4 linked regions of the Saccharomyces cerevisiae S288C genome follow. Changing the gene in region 4 together with the main gene of any one other region gives a genetic interaction. Each region holds a gene or a part of one and is shown on either strand. Other genes may lie near its edges.

Region 1 (4,115 bases), on a different chromosome or scaffold from region 4:
ATTCAATGACTTGAACAATTGAAACATGTAGTACTTTATTTCCAATCTTGACATCGGCGTACGTTGATGGACGAAATGACGTAACCTCTGGTACAAAGATTGTGGCATGTATTCTAGTATCAAATTTAAATAAATCTCATCTTGGGAGTCCCTTTCATAGAAAAAGTACTTCAGATCTATTATATTTATGTGACTCAGCATTTTCATTATTTCCAGCTCTCTGTTCTTGAATCGTTTATCTTGCAGGACTTTCTTAATAGCAACTTTTTCATTAGTTTCTTGAATAACAGTGGCAAATACCACACCAAACGAACCATGCCCAACTACTTCGGTGGTAGGGAAAGATATCTGCACCGGATCATTCGGGTCTATCGTAGGTGGAGGATGGGCGTAGTAAACCTGTTTTGACACTATGTTATTACTGAGATTCGGAGAATTATTGCTTTGAATATTCATCCTGCGCGAGTTCTAGCGTTGCGTGATTAGTGTTGCCGTGTTGTAATGTAATGCTATGTCAAGATCTTGCCCAGTAATGTGTGAATCAGACGTCGGTGGTTGGCTATTCTGGAAAAAAAGGTGTTAAAATGCAATGCGCCAGAAAGAAAAGGAAATAAGACAATGGCAACGACCGATTGGAAATAATCTGCTGGTCTTCCTACCACTCCTTCTTGTGTAAGATCTTCAATGGACCCGTGCTTTGTAACCCGCAAGCCTTACAGAACCCCTTGGTAGTATTATTATCCGGAGTGAGCAGAAGCCACGAATGCGCACAGTCGGCGGGTAATGAACTATCACGCTATAAATACTGACATTATTTAAAGTTTTTATATGGTGCTCACATCTTAGACGATTATTGGGTAAAATGGCAGGATTCCACCAGACGGTCACGCAGGTTATCAATACCTTCTCCGGTAACGCCACTACATTTGACGAGCTCTATTCGGATGTCCGGCTTGAACAGACACTTCAACTCGCTCTCTACCAGTAAACACCTTCGATGAAGCTCGGACTTGTCCTCCACTAAATCAATCTTGTTCAACACAACGATAACAGCACACTCGTATCCTATTCGATTTTCGTCTCTATTGATTAATTCTTTTAGTTCTTGCAAGGTTTCGTCAAACCGCATTGAAAGGCTCACATCTATACACCATATCATCGCTTGTGTCTTATCAAAATAGTTATCCCAAAATGGCCTTAATGTGCGTTGCCCCCCAATGTCCCATAGAGATATTGTCACATCTTTTATCATCAGACTATGTATTTGAAAACCCACAGTAGGCATTATACCATCGTTATTTTGCTCATCCTTGGGCAATAGTTTGTTTACTATCGTTGACTTCCCCGAATTGTCTAGTCCTAGAATCAGACAGCGAATTTCTTTGTCCCTGAGCTTCTGTTTCCTGATAATACTTAGTAGTCCCATGTATTCTTCTACACCTTAAGCTTCCCTCTTATTATCTTTATAAATTAGTGCGATGGCTTTTTAGATTTTGTCATGGAAACGGACTGAAAAAGTACTAGTAAAATAGCAATATAAACATAATCAAATACCTGCGTCAAAACTCATGTTAAGCAGCATACGCACTAGTGACTAATTTGGGTGGTCGGTTGATTATGTCAAGGAAATCTATAGTGCAAATAAGAAGATCTGAAGTAAAGCGGAAACGAAGTAGCACCGCTAGCAGTACAAGTGAGGGGAAAACTCTTCATAAGAACACACATACATCCTCTAAAAGGCAGAGAACTTTGACAGAATTCAACATCCCAACTTCATCGAACTTACCTGTCCGTTCCAGTTCATATTCATTCTCAAGGTTCAGTTGTTCAACATCCAATAAGAATACAGAGCCAGTAATTATTAACGATGACGATCACAATAGCATTTGCCTTGAAGACACTGCAAAGGTCGAAATCACCATAGACACAGACGAGGAAGAACTAGTTAGCTTGCATGATAACGAAGTCAGCGCAATAGAAAATAGGACCGAAGATCGAATAGTAACGGAATTGGAGGAGCAAGTAAATGTTAAAGTCTCTACAGAAGTTATTCAATGTCCTATTTGTCTAGAAAACCTTTCTCATTTAGAATTGTACGAAAGAGAGACACACTGTGATACTTGCATAGGCAGTGACCCGAGCAATATGGGAACACCTAAAAAGAATATCAGGAGCTTTATTTCTAATCCATCATCTCCTGCAAAAACGAAGAGGGATATAGCTACGTCAAAAAAACCAACAAGAGTAAAACTTGTTTTACCAAGTTTCAAGATAATTAAGTTCAATAATGGCCACGAAATAGTTGTGGATGGTTTCAATTATAAGGCCAGCGAGACTATCTCTCAGTACTTTCTTTCTCATTTTCATTCTGATCACTATATTGGACTCAAAAAATCTTGGAACAATCCTGATGAGAATCCGATCAAGAAAACACTTTACTGTTCTAAGATCACTGCAATATTAGTAAATTTAAAATTCAAAATTCCAATGGATGAAATCCAAATTTTACCCATGAATAAACGCTTTTGGATAACAGATACCATTTCAGTAGTTACGTTGGACGCTAACCATTGTCCCGGTGCAATAATAATGCTTTTCCAGGAGTTTCTGGCAAATTCGTATGATAAGCCTATAAGACAAATTCTTCACACGGGGGATTTTCGAAGCAACGCCAAAATGATTGAGACAATTCAGAAGTGGTTGGCCGAGACAGCGAATGAAACTATTGACCAAGTTTATTTAGATACAACATATATGACTATGGGATACAACTTTCCTTCACAACATTCTGTGTGCGAGACTGTGGCTGATTTTACATTACGGCTTATAAAACATGGTAAAAACAAAACATTTGGAGATTCACAAAGGAACCTTTTTCACTTTCAGAGAAAGAAAACATTGACAACTCATCGTTACAGGGTCCTATTTCTTGTGGGAACATATACTATTGGAAAAGAGAAGCTAGCCATCAAGATATGTGAATTTTTGAAAACAAAATTATTTGTTATGCCGAATTCCGTTAAATTTTCAATGATGCTAACAGTTTTACAAAACAACGAAAATCAAAATGACATGTGGGACGAAAGCTTACTCACCAGCAATTTACATGAATCATCCGTACATTTGGTACCTATAAGAGTGTTGAAAAGTCAAGAAACCATAGAAGCTTACTTGAAAAGTTTAAAAGAATTGGAAACAGACTATGTGAAAGACATTGAAGATGTTGTCGGGTTTATACCTACCGGGTGGAGTCACAATTTTGGTTTAAAATATCAAAAGAAAAACGATGATGATGAGAATGAAATGAGTGGCAATACAGAATATTGCTTAGAACTAATGAAGAATGATCGAGATAATGATGATGAGAATGGGTTTGAAATCTCGAGTATATTGAGGCAATACAAAAAGTACAACAAATTTCAAGTTTTTAACGTACCATATTCTGAACACAGTAGTTTTAACGATTTAGTGAAATTTGGTTGTAAATTGAAGTGTTCTGAAGTCATTCCCACTGTGAATCTAAACAATTTATGGAAAGTGAGGTATATGACGAATTGGTTTCAATGTTGGGAAAACGTTAGGAAAACGCGGGCGGCTAAATAAAACAAAAAAGGAAAACAAAAAAAAGAAAAGGGGGTAAAAATGTGTTATGTAAGATGTACGTACGTAATGGATATTATATGAATGTATGATTTTATATTATTGCAATATCGTATTATACTCAGAGTCCAACGTTTGATCATTATCCATATCATGAATAAACCTGTTTGGAATAGTGATAAAATCAGGAATTCTACGATCGTTGGCTAAATCAATAGATCTTCTATATCTTAACAACAAATTACTGCTTTTTGAGCCAAATTTCTTGGTGACTTTCCTATAAAATAACCCACAGGCATTACACAAAGTTCTTGTGCCATATGGTCCCTTTCTCCATTCTGGAGTCTCGGTCTCCCCGCAATGGAAACAAAACTCGATGATTTTTTTTGCATTAGGATTCTTTTCATCGCTATTAGCGGCGGGAGTTGTCGTTGAAACTGCAGCAGCACCAGGATTGGAATTATTGATGAAATGGCTGGAAGTGGTCAGCGTGGGTTGTCTCTGAATAGCTCTTG
Region 2 (4,171 bases), on a different chromosome or scaffold from region 4:
TTGATCAACAAATTGGATTCAATGGATATCCCACTAGCTATTTCATTAAAGGTTAAGAACGAATTGTTAAATGTTATTGTTAACTATTTTACGGAGTCAATTCTAAAGTTGAACAAATTTAATCAAAACGGTTTAAATCAGTTTTTACATGATTTTAAATCTTTAAGCAGCATTTTGAGCTTACCGTCACATGCTACCAATTATAAATGTATGAGTTTACACGAACTAGTAAAAATATTAAAGCTAAAGTATGATCCAAACAATCAGCAGTTTTTAAACCCAGAATACATTAAAACAGGTAATTTCACATCATTGAAAGAAGCTTATTCCATTAAGTACTTGAAGGACACGAAGATTCAAGATGCACTCTATAGGATTATATATGGTAACATATTATAGCTCGTAAAAAAAAGAGAAGGAAAAAAATCAACAAGACGAGTATTATTCCAAATGTAACTCCAGACCATTCTATAAACCGTAAATAAATATATAAAGCTCTATCATTGTACCAAATCACTATTCATTTCTTCAAACCGAAGGACCTCATCATTCGGATCTTCCGAGGCATTTCTCCTGTCGATTACGGCGCTAAATCCTCTTTTAGCTAACGCCTCGACTATTTCACCAACAGTTGATATCATTCCCGTAGGACCTTCGTCAAAGACTCCGTTTGTTTCAACCTTATTCAACCATCCATATTCTTGAGGAATGTTTTCAGCTTTCCTATACTTTTTCTTTCCTTCGGTTACGCTCTGAATAGGTTCAACAACTTGTGTGGAATTGATATCGTCATTTTCATCGTTATCGTCATCGTCATCACCATTGAAGTGGACATCTATCAGATGATCGATAACGGGCCAACCGTATGCGTTGGCAAACTTTCTTCGGACTATAATGTTGTTGTGAGCGTCAGGTTTTAAAGCAACGACAACCTTTCTCCATGCCATTCCTTCATGCCACCTTCGAGCAATCGTTTCTTCCAAATTTCGATACTTCGCACGTTCTTTCTTTCCTGCAAAAAAAGCCTGAAGGAGTATATTCTTTTTACCAAAAAAACCGTCTTCGATATCAAATTCGGATTGTGGAATGTCATCCTCATTGTATATCTTATCATGAATAATTACAGGATCTCTTGAATCTGGATCCATTATGTACGCTCTTTCAGGTAAAGGAGGAAGGAGAATTGAGCTTGCTGACTCGAAAAATGATACTTTAGGAATTTCGGAACCATTCTCCGTAGGAAACTTTTGTGGCGCCAGTATACTCAACATTTTAGTCAGAGGCGAAATGAAAGTTTTATTGAAGAAATCTTGATTCACAGGTGTTGAAGCATCATTTATTAGCGGTGATTTTTTGCTGTTCTCCTTTAGTTTCTGTAATTGCTCCAAGATATCATTATAGTCTAGGAACAATAGCGATGCGGTATACAATGGGACAATTCCGTCATTAATAGCGTTCGCATATACTGTCCTCCTTTTGAACCTACGCAAAATCTCTATCAAGGGCAGACCAGATAGCAAGTAGAGAAGCGGTTTGCCTACTTCAACATCATTTTCCAAACCCAAGTCTTGACCTGTTTTTCCAATAACCCCGAATGAAAGTAGTACTTTAATATAGGCGGGATTATCTGTGACTATACCTAAAAGCGGTGAAGCTAAAGTAATAAAATTTATTGGATTCACCTTTTTAAAAAACCAAGGGTAGACTTCATAAATGTACGCTATTGCGAAAGCCTGGATTAGGCCACCCAATGAATGACCTACAAAAGAAATCTTGCGGATGGATTCATCGTACAAATCCTGGATAATATATTCGGCCAAACGAGTACCTAAATACTTAACTCCCTTCTCAGTTTGACAGACATTTCCCCTATAACCTTTCACAACAATTTGTTCGTGGGGATAATTCTTTTGTGCTTTGTATATCTGTTCCATAATATACACTAGATCGGTCGACACATTAGAATGTAAACCATGTGTCAAAACTACAAGATGTTTCTTTTTCTGTGGTGTGGTAATCTGAACGGGAAGATTCCACAAATCCAAGGTAGTTAACCTGTTCACTGTAAGTTTAGGGCTATAAGAACCTAGATGAGATGGCAGATCATGCGGATTTTCTACTGACTCTTTACTAGTTCCAATAGTGACTTCGTAAGTGACGTTCGTATTTGTAGTGAACAATATTTGACTCATCACATCAGCAATCCATACGTATTTCTGTCGTATGTTATGTACTGAAAGTTCAGCCACGAAATCTTGTTGAGTTTGCACATTCGGTTCAAATTTGGGGTAATCAACTGAAGCAACTATTTTTTGGGAATGATGATATTGGGCAGTTTTTACATCGCAATAAAGCATGAATGGACCCATTAGGTACGCAGCTCTATACGATAACGGATTCATATTTCTCACCTTTAACCACAAGGAATTTAAATTCAAATCTGGTGGAATTTCCTCACCGTCATAAAGATGATAAGTAATTACATATCTCTCAAGTTCACCAACCTTCACTGAAGACTTGTAATGAAACAATATTTCATTAGTTGGTGTCAGAGACATCTTGAGCAAAACACGGTTCGTACTTCACTCTCTTTGTGTACTATTCTTACTGAACTGTTGAGGCGGTACAATTTATTTCACAGAGTTTTGCATATTTCGGGCATCTACTATGTGCGTCAGTTCTTACGTGGCGCAGAACAATAGAAAAGAAGATTTACAGAAGTGATAGATACGATATGATATTTACAAGAAACGAAAAGTTACGTTCGTCAGTTACTCTCCAATAATTCTTTTGCCCGTTCGGTGCTATCATATTTAGACATTGCCTCAATAACTTCGTCCAATCGTTCTCCAGATAACACACCTGGCAGGTCCAACAATGTGAACCCGCACCTATGATCAGTGATTCTGTTCTGTGGAAAATTGTATGTTCTAATTTTATCAGACCTATTGGTGCTAGAAACCTGACTCTTTCTTGCTTTTCTTTCTTTTTCCTCCTTTTCCAGCCTTTCCTTCTCTGCAAGTCTCGCTCTTAAGATCGTAAATGCTTTAGCCTTATTCTTGTGTTGAGATCTTTCATCTTGCATGGAAACAACAATTCCAGAGGGGATATGGGTTAATCTGACAGCAGAGTCTGTCGTATTCACATGTTGACCACCTTTCCCGCTTGCACGCATGATGTCAACTCTGATTTCACCAGGTTTAAATGTTCTTTCATAAGCGTCAATAGATTTAGCAGATTCGTCACCAATTTGAGGTAACACAACCACGGCAGCAGTGGATGTGTGCGTCCTTCCTTTAGTCTCCGTACTAGGAATTCTCTGCACCCTGTGAACGCCTGCTTCAAACCTCAAACGATCGTAAGATCCGGCTTCTTCAATGCTCAGAATGGCATCGATAATGCCTGACCCACTTTCGTTTTCATTTTTCGATATAATTCGATACTTCCATTTTCTATAGTTGGCATAGCCAATATACATATCCAATAGATTCTGGGTAAAAATCATGGCTTCAATGCCACCTACACCCGGTCGAAGCTCTAGTAAGCTAGGTTTATCTGCGAACGGATGCGGTGGAAGAAGTTTATTTACCAATCTTGAGGAGGTCGTTTCATATTGGGGGACCAGTTCTGCATATTCTTGTTCAGCCTCCGCCCTTAATGATGGATCAGATACAATCATTTCTTGTAAACTTTTCAATTCATTTAGTTTTTCCTTATACTCAATAAATGTATCAGTGAGCGCTGATAATTTAGCATAATGTTTCTGCTTATTCACGTCAAAATGAATGCCGCAAGAAAGGTCTTTGTCAAGATCTTTTAGTTCAGCTTCATACTTTTCCGCTTGCTTAACAAGTAACGGAGAGAGTTCTGTGTATTGTGTTGGGATGCTGCCGTTGCTCTTAGAGTTAGTCGTTGTTGATGTCAGTCGCACTAGTAACGGCAACTTGTGACCCAAAAAAACACCCTTAAAGATGGACCTCGAGGGGAACTGGAACTTTGAAAGCCACATGCTTGCACCAATGAAATATATTGTTCTGCTCTACGAACTTTTCATTCCTGAGATATTATAAAACATATGATACGCACTATTAACGCTCTGTATTTATCCTCCGAGCGAGCAAATCCTCCTAACAAGTATATGAAATACACAATTACTCAGCCTAGTACAGAT
Region 3 (4,651 bases), on a different chromosome or scaffold from region 4:
CCTCTTCAATGTAAATAAATCCTTAAAGATTTTGCTTCACTCCATATCCGTAACCGTTCTTGCTGACATGGTTTTCATACACATAATGTTATTATAAGGGATGCTTCTAGGTCAAAGGGCAACCCGGCTTAGTTATCTTGAAAGTTATTATTTTAGTTTTCTAATTTTGCAGCTGTTTTCAATGAAGAAAACATTGCGCTTACAGATATGTACAGAAGGGATCTTCTTAACCATCAATTTCAATAAGTTAGAACAATATATGTACGAATATAGATATAAATACGAACGTGGTTAGTATATAGAGACAATGGAGCATGTAGATTCCGATTTTGCACCTATAAGGAGATCGAAAAAGGTTGTTGACAGTGACAAGATTGTGAAAGCAATAAGCGATGATTTGGAGCAAAAAAATTTTACTGTACTGAGAAAGTTGAACCTTGTTCCAATTAAAAAAAGTGTTAGCAGCCCAAAGGTGTGTAAGCCGAGTCCAGTTAAGGAGCGAGTGGACCATGTTTTCTACCAGAAGTTCAAATCAATGGCCTTGCAAGAGCTAGGCACCAATTATTTGTCAATAAGCTACGTTCCGAGCTTAAGTAAGTTTCTTTCAAAAAATCTTAGGAGTATGAAAAATTGTATCGTTTTCTTCGACAAAGTTGAACATATACACCAATATGCTGGTATCGACCGTGCAGTTTCAGAAACACTGTCTTTAGTCGATATAAATGTCGTAATTATAGAAATGAATGACTACTTAATGAAAGAGGGTATTCAATCAAGCAAATCAAAAGAATGTATCGAGTCAATGGGGCAGGCTTCATATAGCGGACAACTAGATTTCGAAGCTAGTGAAAAACCTTCAAATCACACGTCTGACCTAATGATGATGGTTATGAGGAAAATAAATAATGACGAAAGTATCGATCATATTGTCTACTTCAAATTCGAACAATTAGATAAATTATCTACTTCAACTATAATAGAACCTTCGAAGCTTACCGAATTTATCAATGTTTTATCGGTACTTGAAAAAAGTAATAACATTGCATTTAAGGTCCTCATTTATTCAAATAACGTTAGCATTTCGTCTCTCCTATCGACATCCCTCAAAAAGAAACTCAACACAAAATATACTGTGTTTGAGATGCCGATATTAACATGCGCTCAAGAACAAGAATATTTGAAAAAAATGATAAAGTTTACCTTTGATTCCGGAAGCAAGTTATTACAGTCTTACAACTCGCTTGTCACATGCCAGTTGAATAATAAAGAATCCAACTTAGCAATCTTTTTCGAATTTTTGAAGGTCTTTCCGCACCCTTTTACCTATTTGTTTAACGCTTACACTGAGATTATAGTCCAGAGTAGAACTTTTGATGAATTGTTGGATAAGATCAGAAACAGACTGACAATAAAAAATTACCCACATAGTGCTTATAACTTTAAGAAAAACCAGCGTCTTCCACTTAAGTTAACTCGAAAAGTACATGATAGATAAATTACCAAGGTCTTTTGAAAGAGTTCGAACAATACAAAGAGATGGCAACTCCTTTGGAAAAGTTCAAGTTGAACCACCTCCGTTGTCTCTATTAATGAAGAAGCCATGAAGTATGCGAAGTTTTAACTGAATCATCTTCAATAATTATGGGATGTCTGGGTTTTAAACGTTTCATAATATTCAATTTTGAAACAATGATCCCAATACTGCTTTTTTTTTGACTAGGACTTGGATTTGGTTGCTGGTGCGTTAGAATTGTTGTCTGTCCTGTTATATTTATACCGGTGAATGAAATCATAATCCCAGCTCTGTCTTTACTTCTCATCGTCCTTTAACTTTGGAGGTGTTACTGTCGTACGTTCCTTCTAGGTTTTGCACGCACTATCTGAGGCGTTATAGGTTCAATTTGGTAATTAAAGATAGAGTTGTAAGATGGTGGATAAAAATAGGACGTTGCATGAATTATCTTCCAAAAATTTCAGCAGAACGCCGAATGGACTGATCTTTACCAATGATTTAAAGACAGTATATTCCATTTTTCTAATTTGTTTGGATTTGAAAGAGAAAAAACATAGTAGTGACACTAAGTCTTTCTTATTAACTGCATTCACTAAACATTTCCACTTCACTTTTACATATCAGGAAGCTATTAAAGCAATGGGACAATTGGAACTAAAAGTGGATATGAACACAACTTGTATTAACGTTTCATATAATATTAAACCTAGTTTGGCGCGCCACCTTCTTACATTATTTATGTCTTCTAAGCTACTACATACACCGCAGGACAGAACTCGTGGCGAGCCAAAAGAGAAAGTTCTTTTCCAACCAACACCTAAGGGAGTTGCTGTTTTACAAAAGTATGTTAGAGATATTGGGTTGAAAACAATGCCTGATATTCTTTTGTCATCGTTTAACTCCATGAAACTTTTCACTTTTGAGAGAAGCTCTGTCACGGATTCAATCATCCATAGTGATTATTTGATCCATATTCTTTTCATTAAAATGATGGGCGCTAAGCCAAATGTTTGGTCTCCAACAAACGCAGATGACCCATTACCTTGCCTATCTTCGTTGTTGGAATACACTAATAATGATGATACATTTACTTTTGAGAAATCTAAGCCAGAACAAGGATGGCAAGCTCAGATTGGAAACATCGATATAAATGACTTAGAAAGGGTATCGCCATTAGCTCATCGATTCTTTACAAATCCAGATTCTGAGTCGCACACGCAATACTACGTTTCGAATGCAGGTATTAGGTTGTTTGAAAATAAGACGTTTGGCACTTCCAAAAAAATCGTGATTAAGTACACCTTTACAACAAAGGCTATATGGCAGTGGATAATGGACTGTACTGATATTATGCATGTTAAAGAAGCGGTCTCGTTGGCAGCGTTATTTTTAAAAACGGGGTTGATTGTACCAGTTCTTTTACAACCATCACGCACTGACAAGAAAAAGTTTCAAATTAGCAGGTCCTCTTTTTTTACCTTGTCCAAGCGTGGTTGGGATTTGGTTTCTTGGACAGGTTGTAAGAGCAATAATATTAGAGCACCAAATGGTAGCACCATAGACCTAGATTTCACATTAAGGGGTCATATGACTGTTCGTGATGAAAAAAAGACATTGGATGATAGTGAAGGTTTTTCTCAAGACATGCTTATCTCTTCGAGTAATTTAAATAAACTGGACTATGTGCTAACTGATCCAGGTATGAGATATTTATTCAGGCGCCATTTAGAAAAGGAACTTTGTGTAGAAAATTTGGATGTCTTCATTGAGATTAAGAGGTTTTTGAAGAAAATGACAATTCTGAAAAAATTGATAGATTCTAAGCATTGTGATAAAAAATCTAATACCAGTACTTCAAAAAACAATATCGTAAAAACGATTGATTCAGCTTTAATGAAACAGGCCAATGAGTGCCTTGAAATGGCATATCACATTTATTCGTCCTATATCATGATAGGATCACCATATCAATTAAATATCCATCATAACTTGCGTCAGAATATTTCTGACATCATGTTGCACCCTCATTCTCCATTATCGGAACACTTTCCTACTAATCTATACGATCCATCACCTGCATCCGCGGAATCAGCAGCTTCATCAATTAGCTCAACGGAGGCTGACACGTTAGGTGAACCACCTGAAGTGAGTCTAAAACCTTCAAAAAATCTTTCAAATGAAAACTGTTCATTTAAGAAGCAAGGATTCAAACATCAGTTAAAGGAATATAAACCTGCCCCGTTAACTCTGGCAGAAACGCATTCGCCTAATGCATCAGTAGAAAATTCACATACAATTGTTCGTTATGGCATGGACAACACCCAAAATGATACCAAATCGGTTGAATCATTTCCAGCAACTTTGAAGGTCCTCAGGAAATTATATCCCCTCTTCGAGATCGTTAGCAATGAAATGTATAGACTGATGAATAACGATTCCTTTCAAAAATTTACCCAGTCAGACGTATACAAAGATGCTAGCGCTTTAATAGAAATCCAAGAAAAGTGCTAATTTCATTGAGAGTCTTACTCATCTTCAGGTACAATTGCACAAACAGTCCTTTTTTTTTTCTTTAGTTCTCCTAACCTAATATGTCTTGATACCCATAAGGACTGTAAATACTATTACGTATAAATTAAGCGGAGGTGTGATTTGTTATATCAACTATAATATGATTAAATAAAGCCATTTATTATCTAGTATAATTTCCAATCCTGAGATGTGACTAACGTGAGCGCTTACGAATCTTCGCATCATACACCTGTGGCCAAGGCTGGTTGGCGGTTTAAGTCCGTCTGAAAACTTTTTTTTACGTCATTTGAAGATCAAAAGTATTGAACATATACCTAATGACACAGTTTTTTACACTTTTTTTGAGTTAAATTATTCAAGGACAAAAAATAGTGTGCGTAAATGGAAGAAATATAAACGTATATAGAAAATCATTTACCTCTCCTGTAGCACCGCAGTCATTACATAACATTTTTTCGAGGGTAAGTAAACATTACGCAAAAAAAGAAAAGGACTTTAAACCTTGGGATTGAACGCAAATTCATTCATTAAAATATCAACATCCCTCCAAACCATATCAGATTCCCAGTTATCCCAACCTGCCATGATGGAATTGGGTGATTCTTT
Region 4 (4,503 bases):
ATCGACTGTGTATATTTCATATTTTCGCGATTCTTCACGGTGAGCCAACCATGGAAACTTTACCACTTTCATGTTATCAGAGACCTTTGGTTACTGGCAATTTTATTATGCTTCGTTGGTAAGCCTTAATTATTTTATGAATGTTCGCCAATATTATATGTTTCTGCCACCTAAACCAGTAACTTCGTTTTATTTTTGTTGCGATGCGAGATGATTGATTTTGAATATTCTTACGATTACAGTAGCAGTCAACCTGAAAAAGGCAAAAGAAAAATAACGACTTACAGAGGATAACAGTACAAGGGTTCATTTTCATCTGTAAAACATTTTAAAAATGTGCTTTCAGTTTGTGGGGCAAGCTAAAGATAACTGTTCTCAGAAAGAGTGTTCATATTATACTATTTATTTCCTTTCCATTACAAATTGATGTACGTAATTTTTTTTTGCTTACAAATCATTAAGAAGGATACAAAAGCTTGCACCTTATTACTACGATGTCTTTACTGCATTATTTCTCCCTTCAAAGATAACAAATCACCGCAAGTTCTTATAACAAGTTCCTTTTTGAAAATTGTTTTGGAATGTTTTCGAGCAGGATCGAGTAAGTGCGTCAACTCGATTAAGATATTTTCTTCCCGGTTCAAAGCGCCGCTGACTACGGCTTTTTTGGCCATTTTTAGCAGGCTGCTACTTAGGTGATATAACCATAATAGGTTTGTTCTTGGTTCAAATGTAGCCCAGGATATTGGCTGAGGCAGCATGCTTCTCATCAGTTCATATATCTCGAATTGAAGAGTCCCCCGGCCTTGGAAGAAATAATGATGGTCTAATCTTGTATAGGAAGCCTTATTGTTGTCTATATTCAAGAAACGACAGCACTTCATATCAATTAAAGTAACATTCCCTTTAGAGTCTATCAAAATATGGTCCAAAGTTAGATTCCTGTGTTCGAGCTGAAATTTGGATTCAGCAACATATAAAATACTGCTGCACTGCCAGAAAATAGACAATGCTTGAGAGTAATCAATGTTAGAGCACCTTGATAGAGGAGTTCCCTGGTATTTGAAAAATAAGTACAGTATCAAGTTTTGGTCATTTTCACATTGATTTGAGGGCACAACATAAGCTTGCAGTAAATTGGCGACACCGCTAGTTCCTTGTATTAACCGTAATGATTTCAATTCATGTAAGGATATCAAGTTTGAAGTAGTCAAATCACTTAGAGCCCCTAGACATACTTTCTTGCAAATGAGTGAAGTTTGCATATCGCTATGATAAGTTTGCCAAAAGTTATGAGACAGCTGAACCGATCTAGTATTCAACGTAAACAAGCCTAATGACTGAGCTTCACGTAGATCATGTAATATATACTTAACATCACAAAGTTGTAATATTTGTTGCAAAATTGAATCATTGTAGTCCAAAGTGTTTATGGGAGTGACTTCTGAAGATAAGGATGCCAATGATGTTGAATTTTTCAATTTCAGTTGAATCTTGTCCTTTGAGACTTGGTCTGGAACAGGCAATGATATTTGGCAAGTTTTTTTGATCGGATGATTCAGTTCTTGTGTATTTCCTTTACGCCTTACTTTGAGCTTATTTAGTGAAGAATGTGATGTTTTATGCTTCAAACTTCTAAAGGAAAGGTTCGATGATGAATGTTTGTGGTTTAGCTCCTTCGTGCTCTGATGATCGGGCATAATAAATCCAGAATTCCTCTTCTTCTCTGTGTGTTTGCCACCACCAAAAATAGAATTGTGAAAACTTGAAATTGAAGACTTCTTTTGTAACGAATTGGTTGGTTTTGGCTGAACAAAGTTCGGATCTTGGTCATTCACAGATCTGGAAGATAGCGACCTCGACAATAGGTTATCATTTTTCCAGAACTTCCACTTTGAAGAAGAGGTGGTAGAAGTAAAGGAATTAACTGAGTTCACACTGGATGAATGAACATGAGAACTTGTCTTCTCGTCACCCCAGCATTTGAAATCACTACCGCTCCGAAACTTAAGTGATCTAAAATCTTTAACAGGCTCATCCCTTGATAAAGTCGATTGGTTTGAAATAGGTCTCAAGGGTGTACGAAACTTGGAGTTAGTCACCTTTGTAAGACCTTGCTTCGACAACCTTTTAGATGGAGAGAGCAGCTTGTTTTCCGATAGCACCGACTGAGATACATTTTCTTTGTTTGAAGAGTGAGCGGTATCATTAATATTAATTTTATTGAAGAGTTGTTTGAGCGATGAACCTGTAGAAGATCTTTTACCATAGTAATCATCGTTTTCGATGGTTTTACCTACAGGCCTTGTTTTGGATGTTGGAGAATCTGAAGAAGTAAAAAAGGATTGACTCTCATCTTCTGCTGAACCCTTGTGCGAAGTGATTTTGTAAACTTTTCTTCCTACATCCACTGCGGGGCTTCCCATGGATGAAGAATTTAATGAGCTGTCGGCATCATCGCTTTCTGCTACTTCGAGAGCAAAATACCTTCTGTCAGTCATCTGTTGATCTGCTACCGCATCAAAATTCATTTTCTCAATACAAATAGCGCATGTATGTGTGTTTGGTGAAATGATTTTACTACAACTAAATATATTAATACCAATACGCTTTAAGTTATTGTTTACTATTTTCGCTTTTCGAGAAGAGAAGATGTTACAAAAAGTTTCGCGAATTGCTATCAAAACTGAAAAAAAAAAAAAACGTTAGGCGTATCACAAACGAGAATTTAAGGTGTAGCAAGATAGAAAAAGGCACCTCTTTCAAAGCAAGCAAATGAGCGATAGAGATCAGATAGAACCTGTCACAAATGCATTAGATGCAGAAAGTGATTCTAGTGATGATTTTGGGAATTTTTCAGATGCCTCAGTTGAAAATGACCTCTATAACCAGAATTCTACTTTAACGACGTCTTCCGAATCTGTAGTAGATAACTGCTTGAATAAGATACTACCAAAGGGAGAATTTGACCTGGAAGAAGAAACCATAAAGAATGACTGTTTCAAGCTGAGCAAACTTATTGAAGATGAACGACCCCATGTCATTTATGAACAACTCGTACAATTAGATCCTGTGTTACAGCCATTCATATGGAATAAATCTCATATACGCAGAAACTTGCTCCACATTTTGAGATTATCGGATAATAATGGCTCTGAGGGTGTTGGTACGAAGAGGGAGGAAGAACCGTTGAATGATGAGTTGTTCAAAAGGATATGCGATGCAGTGGAGAAAAATGAGCAAACGGCTACTGGTCTCTTCCTGAGGGATAATTTCAAAATTGACTATACACCACCAATGACTTTAAAATCTCTTCAAAAGGAAGAGGAGCGTGAGCAAGAGCAGCATATACCGCAATTGCTTATGGCAGATTTTACTAGTATGGATGAAGAATCTTTACGCCAATACCACGATACATTGTGTCAATCCATTGACTTTTTGGTTAGTAAATCAAGATCATTGAAGAAACAACAGCGAGACCTCCTAAAGGATAAGACAACTTTTGAAAATGTAGTGACGAATTTGACAGGACATACCCAAAGACTACAGCGAGACGAAATTGCATTGTATAACAAAAAGCGAAACAAAAAGAAAAGGTTCAGTTGGGTAGGATACTAATCGCCGTCTCGGCAAAGCAGGTTGAACGTTGAAGTTTGAAGAGAATAAAATGTTATTAGTAGCATAGGGGACCAGACCAAAAGTCGTAAAAGAGCAATATACTTTTTTATAAAACATACAATTATACAATTAGTCCCCCCCTCAAGAAATAAAAAGCCCCTGTGCGAGGGATATACATAAACATTGAGCATTAATATTTACAACTCCCAATGAGCAATAATGGGTTTATTACATAAATAGAACGGCGAAAGATTTAGTTTCTAGTATCTTCACCGTCAGTAAATGGCATCTACGCATCTCCTTCTTTCCCTTCTTCTTCTTCTTCCTCTTCTTCTTCTTCCTCTTCTTCTTCCTCTTCCTCTTCCCTGGCAGTATTTTCACCAATTCTCTTGTTTAAGACGGCCTGTGCGATTTTACTTGCTAATCCATTTTTTTCCTCCAAGATTTCGTTTTCTACCTCAAATTCGGAGGAAGAAGAAGGTGCAACGGATGTCGAAGCTAAGGAAGACTCTGACTTACGATGAAAAGTAGAAGAGAATAATGGAATGTTAGAGAGGGAATTGTCACTATTGACCAATGAGACGCCATCGGAATCTTGGTTATGGTGTTCATAGGCATCGTGGTTGTCACGTTGGCTGATGATAGGTGATGACGAATCTTTTTCTTGTCTTTTTATTTTCTGTTTTCTTAGCATTTTCCTGCGATTCAATTCTGAGGTTTTTCGATCTTCTTCCTCTTCATCGATGACGTCGAATTCTTCACGTAGGGCGGCACTATCGAAATCGGGGAATAATTCGCTTCCAAAGTTATTTACAACTTCGATTATTCTTTCTGCCAGATTTCTACGATCCTTTTGTAGCTTTTGCAAGCCCTTTGGAGATGTAA

The links.
Region 1: mutations in ALK2 (region 4) and PSO2 together harm fitness more than expected from each alone (negative genetic interaction), as found in Saccharomyces cerevisiae (2 studies listed by BioGRID).
Region 2: mutations in ALK2 (region 4) and ROG1 together harm fitness more than expected from each alone (negative genetic interaction), as found in Saccharomyces cerevisiae (2 studies listed by BioGRID).
Region 3: mutations in ALK2 (region 4) and SST2 together harm fitness more than expected from each alone (negative genetic interaction), as found in Saccharomyces cerevisiae (2 studies listed by BioGRID).

Annotation. Positions count from the first base shown.
Region 1 is NC_001145.3:542,466-546,580, reverse strand, and holds PSO2 (DNA cross-link repair protein PSO2), read left to right. Parts: upstream 1-1,617; coding exon 1,618-3,603; downstream 3,604-4,115. Other genes in the region: serine/threonine protein kinase RIM11, read right to left, coding at 1-456; Arf family GTPase CIN4, read right to left, coding at 851-1,426; GAT2 (Gat2p), read right to left, coding at 3,700-4,115. UniProt on the Saccharomyces cerevisiae protein: Required for DNA interstrand cross-link repair. This requires cleavage of cross-linked DNA to generate DNA double strand breaks (DSBs).
Region 2 is NC_001139.9:231,950-236,120, forward strand, and holds ROG1 (putative lipase ROG1), read right to left. Parts: upstream 2,559-4,171; coding exon 501-2,558; downstream 1-500. Other genes in the region: TIP20 (Tip20p), read left to right, coding at 1-399; MRF1 (Mrf1p), read right to left, coding at 2,768-4,009.
Region 3 is NC_001144.5:1,038,643-1,043,293, reverse strand, and holds SST2 (GTPase-activating protein SST2), read left to right. Parts: upstream 1-1,927; coding exon 1,928-4,024; downstream 4,025-4,651. Other genes in the region: RIF2 (Rif2p), read left to right, coding at 308-1,495; leucine-responsive transcriptional regulator LEU3, read right to left, coding at 4,541-4,651. UniProt on the Saccharomyces cerevisiae protein: Desensitization to alpha-factor pheromone. Is involved in regulating the signaling pathway for responding to mating pheromone.
Region 4 is NC_001134.8:205,222-209,724, reverse strand, and holds ALK2 (protein kinase ALK2), read right to left. Parts: upstream 2,532-4,503; coding exon 501-2,531; downstream 1-500. Other genes in the region: HIR1 (Hir1p), read right to left, coding at 1-72; YBL008W-A (uncharacterized protein), read right to left, coding at 77-316; LAA2 (Laa2p), read left to right, coding at 2,776-3,618; bifunctional glycerol-3-phosphate/glycerone-phosphate O-acyltransferase SCT1, read right to left, coding at 3,908-4,503. UniProt on the Saccharomyces cerevisiae protein: Serine/threonine haspin-like protein kinase involved in cell cycle regulation.